2 linked regions of the Oryzias latipes genome follow. The protein of the gene in region 1 purifies or fractionates together with the protein of each later gene. This does not show direct contact. Links are inferred from orthologs where the notes say so. Each region holds a gene or a part of one and is shown in the gene's direction. Other genes may lie near its edges.

The links. The genes of interacting proteins can lie anywhere in the genome.
Region 2: the proteins of reps1 (region 1) and ap2m1 purify together in Homo sapiens (affinity purification with mass spectrometry; 3 studies listed by BioGRID and IntAct, counting the BioPlex papers as one, with this or other methods). This does not show direct contact. The link is inferred for Oryzias latipes from reciprocal best matches to the Homo sapiens genes REPS1 and AP2M1.

Annotation. Positions count from the first base shown.
Region 1 is NC_019882.2:19,492,277-19,500,831, forward strand, and holds the start of reps1 (ralBP1-associated Eps domain-containing protein 1), read left to right. Parts: upstream 1-4,027; 5' UTR 4,028-4,583; coding exon 4,584-4,736; intron 4,737-7,617; coding exon 7,618-7,741; intron 7,742-8,555. UniProt on the Homo sapiens protein: May coordinate the cellular actions of activated EGF receptors and Ral-GTPases.
Region 2 is NC_019875.2:21,536,621-21,544,552, forward strand, and holds part of ap2m1 (AP-2 complex subunit mu), read left to right. Parts: intron 1-1,243; 5' UTR 1,244-1,291; coding exon 1,292-1,365; intron 1,366-3,904; coding exon 3,905-4,170; intron 4,171-4,374; coding exon 4,375-4,457; intron 4,458-4,741; coding exon 4,742-4,747; intron 4,748-4,898; coding exon 4,899-5,034; intron 5,035-6,563; coding exon 6,564-6,708; intron 6,709-6,943; coding exon 6,944-6,961; intron 6,962-7,407; coding exon 7,408-7,527; intron 7,528-7,627; coding exon 7,628-7,763; intron 7,764-7,932.

The DNA of each region.
Region 1 (8,555 bases):
CTTAAATTGGCATTGCTCCAGTTTTTCTAAAATCTAATTTCAATATTCCTAGTTATTTCAGCTATATGACTTTTAAATTTGGGAATTTTTTTCAGTTTCCCCAAAAGAAGCGCCAACCACGCTTTACTTATTGTTTGTTTTTAGTACAGTTTTGCAAAAACAATGGACAATTTCCAACTACTTCAACTAGTTTACCATAACACTCTATGGAAGCATTTATGTAGCATAATTCAAAATAAAAGCCAATACCAGAAATGCTTTTTTTTCCATTTTCAAAATGAAGCTGCGTTTGTTGACTCAAAATAAAAAAGACAAAGTAATCCGCTAACCCGCTTTTTCTTGTCTTCTTCAACACCGCTCAATTGGTCACTTAATTAAAATGATAGAGAAAATGCTATTTGACATTTCATTTTCAAAGCGGTCTCTAGTAAATGTGTAGCAAAATTATTTTTGAAACATCTCATTTGACAATTAAAATGAATTAACAGAAATGCTTTTTCATTTTCACGATGTAACTGCATCAACTGACTCAAAAATAAAATTAGAATCCATCCTTCAAAATGCTTTTTTCATTTTCTTCATAATTAAAGCGAAAAGGCAAAGAGCGTTTTGCATTTTCGTTTTCACATCCACAGTGCGAAAAGCGTCCCATAATTCATTTCCAGTCAGCATTTCCAGAGGGGAGGCGGGGCTATGACATCAGTGCGTCGTTCGTCCAACCAGCAAACGGCGAAATCTGTGCTAATGTTGTGAATGGGGCTGTAGCTGTCCTCGAACAGCAAAAATCAGCGGGGAAGCAGCGGGAGACGATTTGAATAATGTACTTTTATTACTGTTCTGATTATTATCAAGAGCCTGTGCGCTCATTTCTTTTTTTAATCCTGCGGCCAGTGCTTTTTCATTGGCTGCAAGGACCCGGAAGAAGGGTTAGCATTAGGCTAGTACTTGCTAACAACATTTAGCCGTGGTTCAACCTAAACTCAGAGCGGGCAATCACGCAATAAGCATTTTGGATGTAAATATGTGGGAATAACATTTTGTTCACAACACTACTGGAAACACAAATTCACATGGTTGTTTACACAGTTTCTCAGGTCTGCGGAAATGCTGCTACGCAGACCTGAGAAACTGTGTAAACAATCAAAAGCACACAGCGTAGCAAACCAGCCTCCTCTGCCACTAACACGAAGCTACGAGCATGGCTGCACTGCTCCTAGGCATGTCGGTGTTTCATAGCAGCCGGCCACATGGAGTGAGAACTCATGGCCCCGCCCCCTCCCCTCTGGAAATGCTGACACATCCATCGCAGGGTGGATGTGAAAACGAAAATGCAATCCCCTCTTTGCATTATTGCTTTAATTATGTCACAGAATGAGCGATGAAAAAAAACATTTTTTAAGTATTGATTTTTCATTTGAATTTTGAGTCATTTGATGCAGGTACATTATGAAAACCAAAAAGCATTTTTGCTAATCCATTTTAATTGTCAAATTAGACATTTCTAAATTAATTTTGCTCCACATTTACCTGAGAACTTTTTGAAAGTTGAGCATTTTCTCCATCTTTTTAATTAAGTGACCGATTGAGTGGTGTTGAAGAAGAAAAAGCAGTTTGGCGGATTGCCTTTTCTTTTTAATTTTGAGTCAACAAACGCAACTTAATTTTGAAAATGAAAAGGAATTTCAGAGAGTGAATTTTATTTTGAATTATTTTTATTAAAATATACCCTCCTCAACCTCTGCAGAAGTTAAGCAGGCACCAGCAAACTCTACATGCAGACAGAACATGAAACAGTTAATATAGTTTGTGTGTGTAGGTCCAGGTTTGACTTGCGGTTCGATTTTTCTCCTTACGGTGTTGCAGTTGAATGTCTGGAGCATATTGTTGCGCTCGCAGCAGATCAACATGCTGCAGCCTGAACAGGGCGGTCTACCTCCAACGCGGAAATGCATGATTAGCTTTCCGAAACCAGCCGCAAAATTCAGACCCAACAGCTCCTCATTCTAAACATCTTTTACTGCAATTGCATTATGGGTAATATTCACTTCAAACGGAGTTGAATCCGGACTTTATCGAGCAGAAATCATTCATCCGCGCGGCAGACACCTTCCCGGCAAACAAATGATCTGCTGCCGGAAGGGATCCCTGACAGATCAACTGAACTGTCTAATGACCGGAAAACGGTTCCGTTCACACGGTCAAACAATCTCCAAAAGTCGACATCGATATGTGTTGTTTTTACCTTCTGGTTTTCTGATGTTTCCGCCAGGAATTGGATGAATGACGACTTTCGAACGACAGTACACCGGTGAAAGAAGTGCTACGTTCACACTACCCTCGGAAATTACTGCTTTTAAATGTACGAGTTGTACATTGCAGGAAATATCACCTGATATTTTTTTTTACCCCAATTTGATTCATTTGTTACATTTGACATCTGCTAGATTCCATGGTGCTTACCAGACGGAAAATTATTGGTAAAATCCCCAAATTTTAACTGTACTTTTTATTGTTAAATGTTTTGAACTTTACTGAAACCATGAACGCAACACCAAACTCATCTGACTGCATCGTGACACAAAGCGCCACTTTCTAGCGTCTTGATCCATATAAGGATTTAAGTGGGCAATAAATATGCCTTTCTTTTGCCACAATACATTCTTTTTCCTCTAATCCAGAGAGATTAAAAACATTTAGTATCATAAATCGAAGTCATTAAAAATCTATGAGTGAATATCACAATAATGTGACATTACACTACACAAGTTGTTAAAAAAAAACCAACGTGATCTTTTATTTTGAAATCATCCATCCGGGTCCCTGCAGGCCAAGCGTACTAACGCTCTGGCTCATGCTGCTGACTCGGACAGTGACTTCATGACGTCACTAGACATCAAGCTGGAAATAAAACAAACGAGCTTCAAGCCGGAAGTTGTTCTAATTTACTTTCAGTTTAAAAATGACAATTTTGTTGGTACATCTGTGTGAGTTTTAAACATAGATTTTGGTTTTAAAAAGTTTTTTTAATAAAAGAAAAACAATTTTTTGATAAAAAAAAATATTTTCAATTCTATTTTCAAAGTTAATGATTATTCAGAAAGCTCAAGAAGCAACCTTAACAATCACTCATGTATTTTTCTTTAGCTGTAAATGAAATCTGTCATACTTTAGCCAATATTAATAGTACTATTTTTGTTAAAAGGCTAATTGGTGTTGAAAAATGACTTCGAAAGAGATTTCATTGACATTAACCGTCTCTACAGCCTGTTATTGTCAAACATGCTAATTTTAAAAAGTCTTTACACCTTAGATTTGGACATGAAATCATGTCCAGAGAACTTCTGTCATAAGCTGCTATTGCATGTGATGACAGACGCCAACATATTCTTTTCAGTGGGATCTGTTAAATTCACATTTGTCTTACAGAAGTGGAAAGATCACTTTCTTCAGATGATATTCCTTTAACACTGTTTCAATTTCATTCTCGGATGTTCCACTTTCTGAATTCGAGATTTTAAATATGTTCTGGAAATAAAATTGATAATAATAAAAAATGAAGTTCAATTAAAATTTACAAAAATTACATTGTATCCGTGAAAATGTCAAAATTGGTTCATCATTAATTAAAAATTATTTTCTTGTTTGTGAATTGTTATAAAAGTAGATTAGTGAAAAATGAAAGCAAAAAAAAATGACTTTTAAAAAAAAATAGATGTACTACTTAGACCCCCCCCCCCTCATATTTTATGTATACCTTATATTTTATTGCAGCCCTAAAGCTCTTTCGTAATGGCATTTATAAATCGACTTTAAGAGTAACCCATTAATCAAACTAAAAAATCTAGAGAGAACATCTTTAAAACGGCAATGACAAAATGTTGTCATTTGAGGTACAGATTTCTTCCTTTGTGGTTATGCAAAATTATTGGTATTAATTACTTTTATTATATTACTCTTTAAAATCTTTGCAGGGTAAAAATGTGTCGCTCAAGGTGTACTTTATTTTGGAAGGTTTCCACGGAAGTAGTGTCGTCACTCCAAGTACTTTGACGAAGGGGGCAGGAATGGCGGCTATGATTACTAAAGGAAGGAGCCCAAAGATTCTGAAACTTTACTAATAAAGGCGCCGTGGAAGACGCGGATTGCGGCGAAGCGCTGGATCTCCTCCCCGGAGCTGATTCCGGAGAAAGCAGAGCTTTCAGGTCGGATTCATGAGGTTCGTGTCCAGATCGAGACGCCGGACAGCTAGTTAGTTAGCCTGCCGTCAGTGACTTTGATTGGAGGTTAGCTCCCCGCTTTACTAGCCAGCTGTTGGCCACTTTGCCAGGCTGCCCAACAACTTAACCAACTGTGTGGAGCCGCTCGTGGGTGGACGGGTCCGGTGGAAGTCGGCACCGCTCGCCCGCAGACGGTCGCGGACAGCGGGGGGAGTTCTCGCGCGGTGTTCGGGCTCCCCGTTAGCTCGGAAAGAACGCTAGCGGAGTTGGGATCCCGCTGAAGTGTCTGTCGCCCATTCTCGGATCCTGCCCCTACCATTGGCTAAGGGCTATCGCCGCCGCCGTCCGGGTCTGCTCGGCTCTACGATGGAAAGCCTCACGCTGAGCGATGTCGAGCAGAAGTACTACTCGGAGCTGTTCGTGTACTGCGACACGGACAACACCAAAAAAGTGGCCTCCAACGGAAGAGTTCTTGACCTTTTCCGGGCGGCCCAGCTACCCAGCGAAGTTGTCTTGCAGGTAAGCTAACCAGCAGTTTGGGGGGAGTTATCTCCGGGGAGGGGGGGGGGGGGTGACCCAACATGACGCCGTTAAAGGATGAAGTTTGGAGGCTGTCACAGCTCACCTCTCCCCCCGTTCAGATGAGGTTAGACCCCCCCGTGATGGCAGAGAGACACACCCTCTTTTAGCTAACGCTAGCCTCCCATGGAGCAGGAGTCCAGAGCTACTCACAGCTGGATCTGTCTGCAGACACACCTGTCCAGAGCTCCCCACAGCTGGATCTGTCTGCAGACACACCTGTCCAGAGCTCCCCACAGCTGGATCTGTCTGCAGACACACCTGTCCAGAGCTCCCCACAGCTGGATCTGTCTGCAGACACACCTGTGCAGAGCTCCCCACAGCTGGATCTGTCTGCAGACACACCTGTCAGGTTTAGGTGATGGACATCCAGTCTGATGGCTCCAACGCTGTTCTGATCAGAGGGCAGCTGTGGAGCTCTGCTCTCATCAAACATCTGCCCCTACAGCTCCTACATTAGATATCAGGACGACGTTGTAAAGCAGCTGGTTTGATTCTTGGATCAGATCCTGATGGTTTCGTTTGGGAGAATCCTCTCCAGCAACGCCATTAATGAGGAGAAAGTTACAATAAAAAATCTTAAAACCTGCTTTGAAACCTTGACTTAGTACTTTTTACAAAGAAATTATTTGATTTCAAAGTATCAAAAATGCCTTATTACCAAGACATTTCATCTGTTTAATAACAAAATAATAGTTACAAATTCTTTGAACAAATTAAGTCCATGTTTAATTAAGATAATATTTACAATATTTACAATATTTACGACTAGGGCTGCACGATATGAGGAAAACTTGCGATATGTGATATTAGTGAACAATATTACGATGACGATATAACTTGCTGTACATGAACAAATAGCAAAACAACCAAAAACATCATTTCCATGTCAGTTTAAAAAATTATACACAAATGACCACCGGCTAAATAGTAGGTCAATATGTAGCACAACACAAAATGGATCCATCCGATTGGTCAAATACATAAAGGGATTTATTTGATTTGTTAAATACTTCAAGCTCCCATAAGACTGTTTTAGCACATTTAAGGTTACCATTTATTGAAATTTTCGCCTCTCTTGCGATAGGCGTGTTGCACAGCTTGATATCGCGATAACGGTAAATGTGTGATTTATTGTGCTGGCCTATTTTAGACCCACTTCAATGAAAATGGAGTTTTCAACATGTAAAAAGACAATTAATTAAACCTGAAATTGCATTTCCGATTTGATGCAAATGGTTGTGAATCAGGAGCAGATGAAAAAATGCCACTGGAAAAAAATTGTATTTGTGACATAGAAGATACACTGGGCGGGGCCAAGAGGACCAATGCCTGAGAAATCTGAAAGAACAGGAACAGAAACCTTTTGCTAAAAGATTCTGTTGGCCAAGAGGCCAGCAAGAAAAAGGAAAACAGGACAACTATAACCAGACAAGCCTGCTAAGTAATGTAGCTTTTTTTTGTTTAGACATTTACCCCAAACCTAAAAAAAAAATAAAATAATAGAAGTTACTGGTATACTGAAAAGATTTAAGCTAGTTAAGCTGTGTAAAGGAATAACCATAACATCTTCTAAAAACAGATTCATAGGTAGTGTAGCCTCTACTATTAGAAAACAATTGAACTCAACCTTGCTAACAAAGCTAACTTCAATGAAAAAGTCAATAAGAGAGCTCATTTCAGCAACTCGTGTTAGCAAACAGAAGACACGCCCCTTAAGAACTTTGAGTCATGTTTACCAAGCAAATGCTTATGGTGGCTCCTCCCACACGCATCAGCAGCTATGAACGCTTTTTTGGAGGAGCGTTGAGCCGCATGTTTGACACAAGAGACAGCGAATGCACCATGACACGAGCTAAGACAGCTCGCCAGTTAGTTTAACGTTGACTATTAGCGAATAATTACAAAAATAAAAGAAACAGAGAAATAGTCGATACGAAATAGAAAAAAAAGACTGATCCGAAATCTCGATCTGATTTTTTTTTTGGTAACTTTTTTGAAGCTAGCTCCTTCATTTCTGCTTCTACTTTGAAGTTAAATCGTTTCAAGAGGAAGTGAGTGAATCCATATTTTCAAAGCTGCAGTGTTGCTTCTCTTGGTCTGTCTTCTTCTGCGTCTTTGTTTTTCCAGGCTTTCTGATGGTTGGCCTGGAAAGTCCTTGAAGGCTAGAGGCAACAGGGATCAGCTTGGGAATGTGTTTGAATCCCACACACAAACCCAGCAGCGATGCAGCGTCGACTGCCGCTCTGGAGCCTTTTATCAGTGGACGTTTCCTGTTCGCATCCTGTCGTCCCGCAGAGCAGCGTGTGCACATTTGAAACAATGAAACTAATGAGTGACGCTGCTCCGTGCTGACTCAGGCTTTGAGCTTCTCACATGACAACCTGAGGAGGCCGGCCAGAGAGGCCTTTAAGTCAAACTGCTCTTCCCGTCATGAGCGGGGCAGAAGCAGCGTGACTCAGGCTTTCTGAAGAGCCCACAGTTAGCTCTTTGTGACTCAGCATCCCTTCAAGGTCAGCTGGAGAGTCGTAGAGCCGCCCAGCAGCGTTTGGAGCTGCACAGAGCCGAGTGTCGGCCTGCGACGGGCGCTCTGTGGGCGGTTTGGGGTCAGTCAGCTGTGGTGACCTAAACCTTAAAGGGTGGGGGGCAGCGGAGCGGGAGCAAAGACGCCGTCCCTGAAAGCAAACCTTCAGTGACAGCTCTGTTTGTTTTTTTTGGAATGTGGAATTTTCCAAAGGTGTGGATCGCCAGTCGATAAGCCCGCACTGGCTCCACCTCCACAGAAATAAAGACTCTTGTTTTTTGGGGGGGGCGGGGGCAGATCACAGAGCTGTGCGGAGCCACTCGCCTGGGTCACTTTGGGCGGAGCCAGTTCTACATCGCCTTGAAGCTCATCGCCATCGCCCAGGCGGGGCTGCCCCTCAGGGTGGAGAGCCTGAACTCGGGTGAGTCCAAACCGTCCGGATGTTAGCTGTTTTTGTCTTGTTTACTGCATCTGAGCGAGGAGTTTCCACGTGTCGCAGCCACAGGAATATTCATGTGCACATATTTAGAATATTTCACTGTTGATGCATCATCAAGCTTCACTTTTTCTCTCAGAACAGCCCAGTTGCTATCGTCAGGTTGTATTGCACTTTAAAGTTAAAAAAACAAATAAATATATCTATATATAGACGAACAAAACAGCTGCTGATTTATAATAAATCTATATAACAGAAAATATTGAATAAAGTTTGAAATATGGACGATAAAGGTAGAGCAATGGTTTGTTCTGCAGAAATGTCTAACAAATCAAATCTCCAAGATGATTATAGCATCCTGTGTTGCTATGGTAACAAAGGTTGCTATAGTAACAAATGGGGGTGTAACGATTCATTTGAACAATTCCATTTAATATTTGCCAATTTGATTCACTTTTGATTTTGGTTCATTTTGAATGATCTGATTCTCTGACCTAGAATGGATCCAGATCATCTTCAGGTAAAACTTCCAGCAGTGAGACTCAGACAGAAATTCCTGCTACTGAACAGTGAAGTTTTCCAGATTCTTGGATTTCTTCCAGATCATCAAATGTAAATGAAATATGTGACCAAACAAACAAGTCAACTAGAATGAATGTCAAATCCATTCACATGTTAGTTTCCTAAAGTTCAGTCCACTGTTGTTAATACATCCAAAGAATCCAAAGGGAACATTCTTAGAACATTCTAGAAAACTGGATGGTCACATGACTTTGCTAAATTCAAAGTCTGTCCACAC
Region 2 (7,932 bases), on another chromosome or scaffold:
TTCTATATTCAAATTGCTGTGAATCAGGAGCAGACGAAAAAACTCCATTGGAAAATGCTCATAGCAGGGAAGTAGGTGCTGCAATCATTGGGCCACAAGCTCTGTACTCCGCTACATTTTGATGCATCCACTTGCAGACTAATAGATCCATCCATGCATGTCTGCATTTTCCTCGCCTGAACTGATATCTGGCTCAACACTGGACAGCTGGACAGCTCCAAAAGTGCTCGCCGTTTTTATTGCTCCAATAATTGGGTTGGAGGTGTGAATAGCTGTAAGCTAGCGGGAGGGCATTAAAACAGATGGATAGAGGCAACTTGGAAACAAACTACCCATAACAGCTCCTAATCTTCTTCTTCTATCTAATATGTCACTGGAGGAAAAGAACTGCCGTTTCATTAGTATGGAGATCCATTGCCTCATCAAGTCAGCGTGTTGGATATGTGTGTGCATCTTTTTGCTTCCTTCGAGTCCGAATGGAAGAAGTGCAGCTGCAGGAATTAGTCAGCTGGCAAAAGGGAAACGAGGATGAGAGAGAAAAGAGGATGTGAGGGACAAATGTGTCTCTGTGTCACCAGCGGTGACTCCCTCACTTTCACTTCTCCTGGCTAATTTTTAATCCTCCATGTCAGTAGTTTTCAGGTAGATACTCAATATGACTATGGATGGAGGCTTAAAACCAACTTTATATTCAAAAAGGATGCATTTTTCTTGTAAAATTACAACTTTGCTCTCATAATTTTACGACTTTGTTCTTGTAAATGTTGATTTTTTTTTTTTGTTGTACTTAATTTTTATTTACTTGTATGGGGCCTTAATATTTTGTTGTAGATATGTACCCCAAAAAGGTACTAGATTTAAATACATGTTTGTATTTTTCAATCATGCATATGAAGATCCCAGCAAAAATGATCACAACAAAAAATGAGATCTTTAACACAAGGTGAATATGTATAAGAAGTAAAACACATTGTGTGGTATTATTCTTTACTACACCAACAATTTTTTCTTCCTTTTTTGATACACAAATCACATTTCTTCATTTAATTTTTATTTTGTATAAATTTAGTGCTTTGTAAAAAAAACTATATTTATAAACTCTGTTTTAAAGATTTTATTGATTCATTGAAGATTTTCCATAAATAAAATATATTCTGAGAGTTACACCTTTGTGAGGGGGGGGGGGGGGGGGGGAAGCTTGGGGACCACTGCCTTCATGTCGTTCCTTTCTGTTTTTTGCCAGGTGGTGTTTGGTTTCATCATGGCAAGGTGTGTTTGAGAGGCAGCCACAATGATTGGAGGACTGTTTATCTACAACCACAAGGGGGAGGTCCTGATCTCCCGTGTCTACCGAGATGACATAGGGTATGTTTGACACGAACTAACCTTCTGTAAGTCTCCTCAAGTTGTGGAAGACTTCAGTTCAATGGAACTATCTGGATCCTGCGTTGGAGGGCTAGCTGGAGTTGATCTCCTCGATGAGAGGATTATGTCACCACATCCAGCTAAAATCATGTCTGCTTGTGCAAGGAAGCTGAGTTAGACGTAAGCCTGGATTAAATCATCCGCTCATATAACATTGTTTAAGGGATTAGATGCTATTTATTTAACAATCTGAAGGCCTATGCAAATTGAATAAATGATTAGAGTTACAGATGCTCAGGCGCATTATCAAACCACACTCTCTGCTTTAGCTAGAGCTGTTCATCAAGAGTTGACTTTTGTTTTCAGTTCTAGAGGCAGGAAGAATTACAGAGAACCTAAATTGGATGGTTAAAAAATACTTGGATGACCCATAGCTAGTTTCTTATGTACAAAAAGTATTATTTATGGTCTTTTAAGTGTTGTTCTTTCAGATTTAAAACAATCAGCAGATTGTGCATGTCCATTGACTAAACCAGTGGTTGAGTTTTAGATGCAAGGCCTCATTCATGGCTAGGAAACTTGTTTCAATCAAAATGTCATAGTACTGTGAACCAGAACTTGCAGACTTGTTGACTTGGGGGTTTATGTTGTCTTAGCGGACTGTTCAGTCGACATACAGAAGAAGAATGGGCAAAAAGTTGCACAGCAGATTTACCATATGGGTCAATTTAAAGGCAAAATCAGAATTCAAAATTTTTTTTGTGCATTGGTATAGTTCTGAGGGAGGATGGCAAAAGCAAAGTGTGCATGCCTAATGCAGGTGTTCAGTAGGATTTCTTGCATCTGCACATGCGGCTCTTCAAATACATTTTCCAAACATAATAGAACACTTAAGAAAAGCGTACACTTCTTTCCACTTTTCTTCTCTTTGCCACAATTAGTTGTTTTTGCTTCATTTTCAGCCATTGTTGCATTCTTGATCATCCTCAGCAGCTTCTGTCTTCTCATACAGACACAATGCGTTTTGCTGAATAAAGCGGGAAAAGACGGAAACAAAAGAAACCCTGATGTAGCAGTTCTTGACTTTGCATAATCCGCTGGAAAACTAAAACGCTATGAACTTGAGGCATGTTTGCAGTAATGTTGATTGCCATTACCTTAGCCCACACACTGTACTAAAGGGGAATTCAATCTGTTGAGGTGTTGCACTGTAAACCCCAAGGATAAAGTGTAGTAAAATAATGCTAACCTTGTCCCCTAATGATTTACCTAGCCCCCCACTTCCCTAAAAAAACCCTCACCTTACTCATTCTGTCTACACAATGCACGAAAATGTCTCCTGTACATTTTTGTCTTCATCCTTCTCTCCTCTCTATTTTCTGTATCACCATTATCCTCCATCTGTCCATCACGGTCCTTGTAGGAATAGGTAAGAGCTACTGCAGCCTCTACAGCATGAACCCCACCTTTTAAAGGCTACAACTCGAGGATCTCATGAACCCCAAAGTGCATGCACATCTGTCCAACCATCAGGATTCCTGCTGATTCTTCTAAGCATGTCACCTGTCATGTTATCATCTAAAAAAAGAGAGATTTAAGGAATTCATACATAACCAGAACTGCCACTTCTAGCATGTCATTTGAGCATGGAAATTTTCCAGGCAAGTCATCTGAATTGTCATTTATTCATTTAATTTCTGTTTTTTAATTCAAAAGTAATGAGAGAGTTTGGATTAAATCACCCGGTTAAAGCTAGACCTTGGATTTAACTACAGCTGGACATAAATTTGCTGCCAGTTTGTGTTTTTTGTTCATTTGTGGTTAATAAAAACACCTCACACCCCAACCAGGTAAGGCAGCATCCTGAACTAACATGCCTCACACTCACTCCAACACGTCCACTTGTTTCCATGGAGTCTTCATGGACAGTTTTTTCAGCGTGTTAACATCTGTGAACCAACCCGGCCTGTTTCACACCGCAGTGTTTATAGGAACCGTGGTGCAACAACCATTAAGGGATCATACAGATCCTCTACATCATTTGTGATAATTGTATGTTTCTGGTTTTGGTAATGTCTGTTGTGAGTTGATGTGCACTCCAGAATATTCCCAGCAATTAGCAGTGTGGTTTGGTACTTTTGTCAGGACAAGCTCCATCCTGTCCACTGTATCCGTTTAAATTGAGGGCTGTTGAGCATTGTAGAGCGTTTTACCACAAAAGAACTAGATAAAAATCCTACTTGGATAATTATTGGTTTGAAACATTTTTTTTGTTTCCACAAAGTCCAGTTAATGTTTTTGCTGTGCTGTGAGTTTTTATTTGTTGGTTTGATCACAGTTTAGACATTAAAACGAAGTGTCTACCTCCTCATTCTCCCTCTGCATTTTATTCCTATTAAATATGTCCATGCTTTAGAGAATTTTTCTTTTTTTGCAAAAAATATTTTCACGTCAAACGATCCATTCTCATTTGTCACAAAACCTTAATCCGTTGACTCCATTCCTAAACTTTCTTTCTGCTCCTCTTCTTCTGTGGCAGACGTAACGCCGTGGACGCGTTCCGCGTGAACGTGATTCACGCCCGGCAGCAAGTGCGATCCCCAGTGACCAACATCGCCCGCACCAGCTTCTTCCACGTCAAACGCTCCAACATCTGGCTGGCGGCCGTCACCAAGCAGAATGTCAACGCTGCCATGGTGTTCGAGTTCCTCTACAAAATGTGTGACGTCATGACGGCCTACTTTGGCAAGATCAGCGAGGAGAACATCAAGAACAACTTTGTGCTCATCTATGAGCTGCTGGATGGTATGAAGTGACTGTTCAGTTTTAGACGGTTGTTGACACAAATACAAAAATCATGCTTTGACTGATCTCTGAGAGTTGGGACGTTAGCACCAATATTTTGCTTTGAAGTTTCTTTCTCGGAGCTGTTAGCTTTCATCATTTCATGATCTAGGGTTCTCTCTTGCCTATCTTATCTGTTGCTGATAGTTGTGTTTGTTTGTGCAGAGATTCTGGACTTTGGTTATCCCCAGAACTCTGAGACCGGGGCCCTAAAGACTTTCATCACCCAGCAGGGCATTAAGGGACAGGTACAACATCCACACTCTGACTGATCAAAAATAGGCTAAATGTATGCTGTCTATATGTGTAAAATTATACAGAATGCTAAAATAAATTCCTGTTAATCCTGTTATAAAGATGAATATGGGATGTCGGTAGAACGTTTCTTTACCATTCTGTGCTTAAAATAAAGAAAACACCTTTTCTTTTGGTTTATGTATTAAACTCACACCAAACAGTTGACATATGCTAAAAAATATATTTTCTTTTCCATGTCATTTCCTCTGTCTCCTGTGGTATTTGGACCCTTCAGCACCAGGTAATATAATGCTACACTCCTCAGATAGTGAAACAGGGTTATATTTTTCGATCTTTCTTTAGTGGGATCTCTTTTTCAAGGCCTTTTTTGTGTGGTTGAAATTCGGTCGTCCATATCCATCTGCATTATGGCTTTTCTTTCTGCCTTTCAGACAAAAGAGGAGCAGTCTCAGATCACCAGCCAGGTGACGGGACAGATTGGCTGGCGTCGTGAGGGCATCAAATATCGCCGCAATGAACTATTCCTGGATGTGCTGGAAAGTGTGAATCTGCTCATGTCTCCACAAGGTCAGTTAGTTTTCCCGTCAAACATGATCTAGGAAAACATTTGTGTTTAGTAAATGCATCAGACATGTCAAGTAGTTGCAAAGTCTTTCAAAGTATTACATGGACAAACTTCTATTTTTAAAACTTCCTGTTCATGCTTAAAGTTGAGGACTCCAATTTCTGTTTTGATCTTTTGAAACAATACTTGCTTATACAATTTTTTTCTATCGCTTGTTCAACTGTAGCATCGAAAGTTGTTAGATATGAATTCCATTGTTTTGAACATGTTCACAATTACTTTAAAAAAAAGTTGGTATTTTTGGTTGTAGTTGAACAAAAAGAGAAAAATGTCCTATTTGAGTATGACTTAAATAATGTACCTCTGAACATTAAGGACTTTTAGGTTAAATTGTCCCTAATAATCACTTTTTGTAACTTTTTAGAGGAAAATGTGTTTGTAATGATGGATTAGTGCTGCATATTTATAAAGTAAAGAAAATGCAGCTGATTTTTTTAGAGTATTATTCGGCTCTGATCGGTTTCCTAAATCCTTTGGGGGTTTTTGTGTGGGTTTTTTTTTTTTTTTTTGGGCATACTCCATGGGTGTGTCCAAATTTGAGGGCTGCATCCTTCAATGGCGGCCTTCCCGGGTGACGTTGGCCGGGTTCTGGATGTTAACGACTGTGAATTTGGACAAGTCTAGTCTTTAGATAATTCCAGCCGTTACATCATCGGCAAGTGTCCTGTCGCCTAGCAACCGTGGGTCCCGAACAGAGAGGAGTGGTGAAGCAGGCATGGAGCTCAAAAGTTTCCTGGCTTATTTGATCCAACTTTTAATCTTGTAATTGTAAGGTGTAATTATCTCCAACTCCAGGTCCCGCTTCACAGTCCAGCATTGTTGTCAGAAAATCTCCAGGTTCTGTCGCGATGCATCTTTGATGGTGGTCCTCAACAGCAGACTGGATGTTATCAAACTTTGTCTCAAGTCGTGTGATGGAGGCATTAAACTCCGCTGGAAGGGTTGCTCTGTGATCTTTTAGCGTAGCCACGACGGGCTCGTCGATGGTATCATCCTTTTTTGTTGTTCTGTTCGCCATCTTGTTGTGGTCGGGGGTTATTACAGACATTAAGACACAGTTATATGCACTTGTTTGAGTATAGCAAGTGAGAGAAAATTAGAAGGCAAATGTGATTTAGGCAGTAATCCAAACGCATCGGTTATTCCGTCATGGCGGCCATCCAGAACCCTCAATGCCGCAATGCATCTTGGGATATGGACAGCATAGAAGCATACACCAGACCAATCCTTGAAATTGGGGGGAAAAAGGCGGCCGTATTCGTTGGCCGCATTTGAAGGAGTCCTTGCATTTGGACAGCACTTGTCTTGGAGCTGTGACGTAAACATCCTACAAATGCAGCCCAGGAAGAACCCAGCCCTCGCATTTGGACACAGCCTATTTCCAAATTTCTAATTATTTTTTACATGAAGGGTTTCTGGTGTAGAAGTTTGGGTTAAAACTCGTCATGGCTGTCCCCCTCCCTGATTCCAGGCCAGGTCCTGAGCGCCCACGTGTCGGGTCGTGTTGTGATGAAGAGCTATCTGAGCGGAATGCCAGAGTGCAAATTTGGAATGAATGACAAGATTGTTATCGACAAGCAGGGCAAGGGAGGAGCGACTGACGATGCAGCGAAGAGGTGAGTGTTAAAACGGAGGCAGATGGCAACTCGACGATAACCAGACCCAATCTCCAAAAATACCAAGAATGTGAAAATTGAAAAACGGAATGTGCCCGTCCCTCTGTCCTGTACCCGTGTTGTCATCTTAGTCACTACAAACAAACAAGGCCTTACAGTTAATTTTCTCATTTTTGCCTGCCTTTGGATGCATCTCTCCTTTTCTTTTCCTTCTTTTCTATGTGCTGTACCTCAGTGATTTAGGGGGAGGAAGGTACTGTACTGACAAGTGTCCCCCCCCCGCCACCTTAACACACACCCCTCGTCTTGTCATAGCTTTCAGTAGTTTAACATTTCATGCACTGTGACCCTTCCACACAACTGGTGCAACCAACATTTGCCTTAGAAACTCCTCAGTGGACTGCCTGGTTTAGTAGATTGGTATGTTTATTAGCCCACACCCACCTGCTTGACCTATGACCTTAACACCTATCAGAAACTGTCATCTTTAGCTGCAGAATAGTGACATTAACTCAAAGTAGGCTCACATGTTTTGGTGTCAGGTGTTCCCTTTGCTCTCCTCATTTGTTGCTTTTGTCACTTCTTTACATTGAGGGAGGGGAGTCCTGGTATCTTTCTAAGACGATGCCTTGGGATGTTGAACCTGAAATACTCCATTAATCCTAAACTAGTTGACTTCTGCGTTTGTGTTTTCCTCAGTGGGAAGCAGTCGATTGCCATCGACGACTGCACCTTCCACCAGTGTGTGCGTCTGAGTAAATTTGATTCTGAGCGGAGCATTAGCTTCATCCCTCCTGATGGAGAGTATGAGCTCATGAGGTCAGTGGTTAGATCATCCATTTCAACTTTTGCACTTCCTTTTATGTTATTTGTTTGTTTTTTAAAAAGGGGAAGTTTACTCAGGATCATTCCTCTGCAGGTACCGTACTACTAAGGATATCATCCTGCCATTCCGAGTCATTCCTTTGGTCCGGGAGGTGGGTCGCACTAAACTGGAAGTCAAGGTGGTCATCAAGTCTAATTTCAAACCCTCTCTGCTGGCTCAGAAGATCGAGGTTAGTGGCCCTCCTGTCAAGCTACGTTCACATTGCAAAGAAAAGTATGTCTGAGTTTGGAACTTCAAAGTTTTTACAGCTGTTTTTTGGCTCTACGTACAAATGTGCGTTCGATGGTCCTGATGGGGCCGTGAGTTAAAGTTAAACCAGGTTGAACTTTGACCAATCA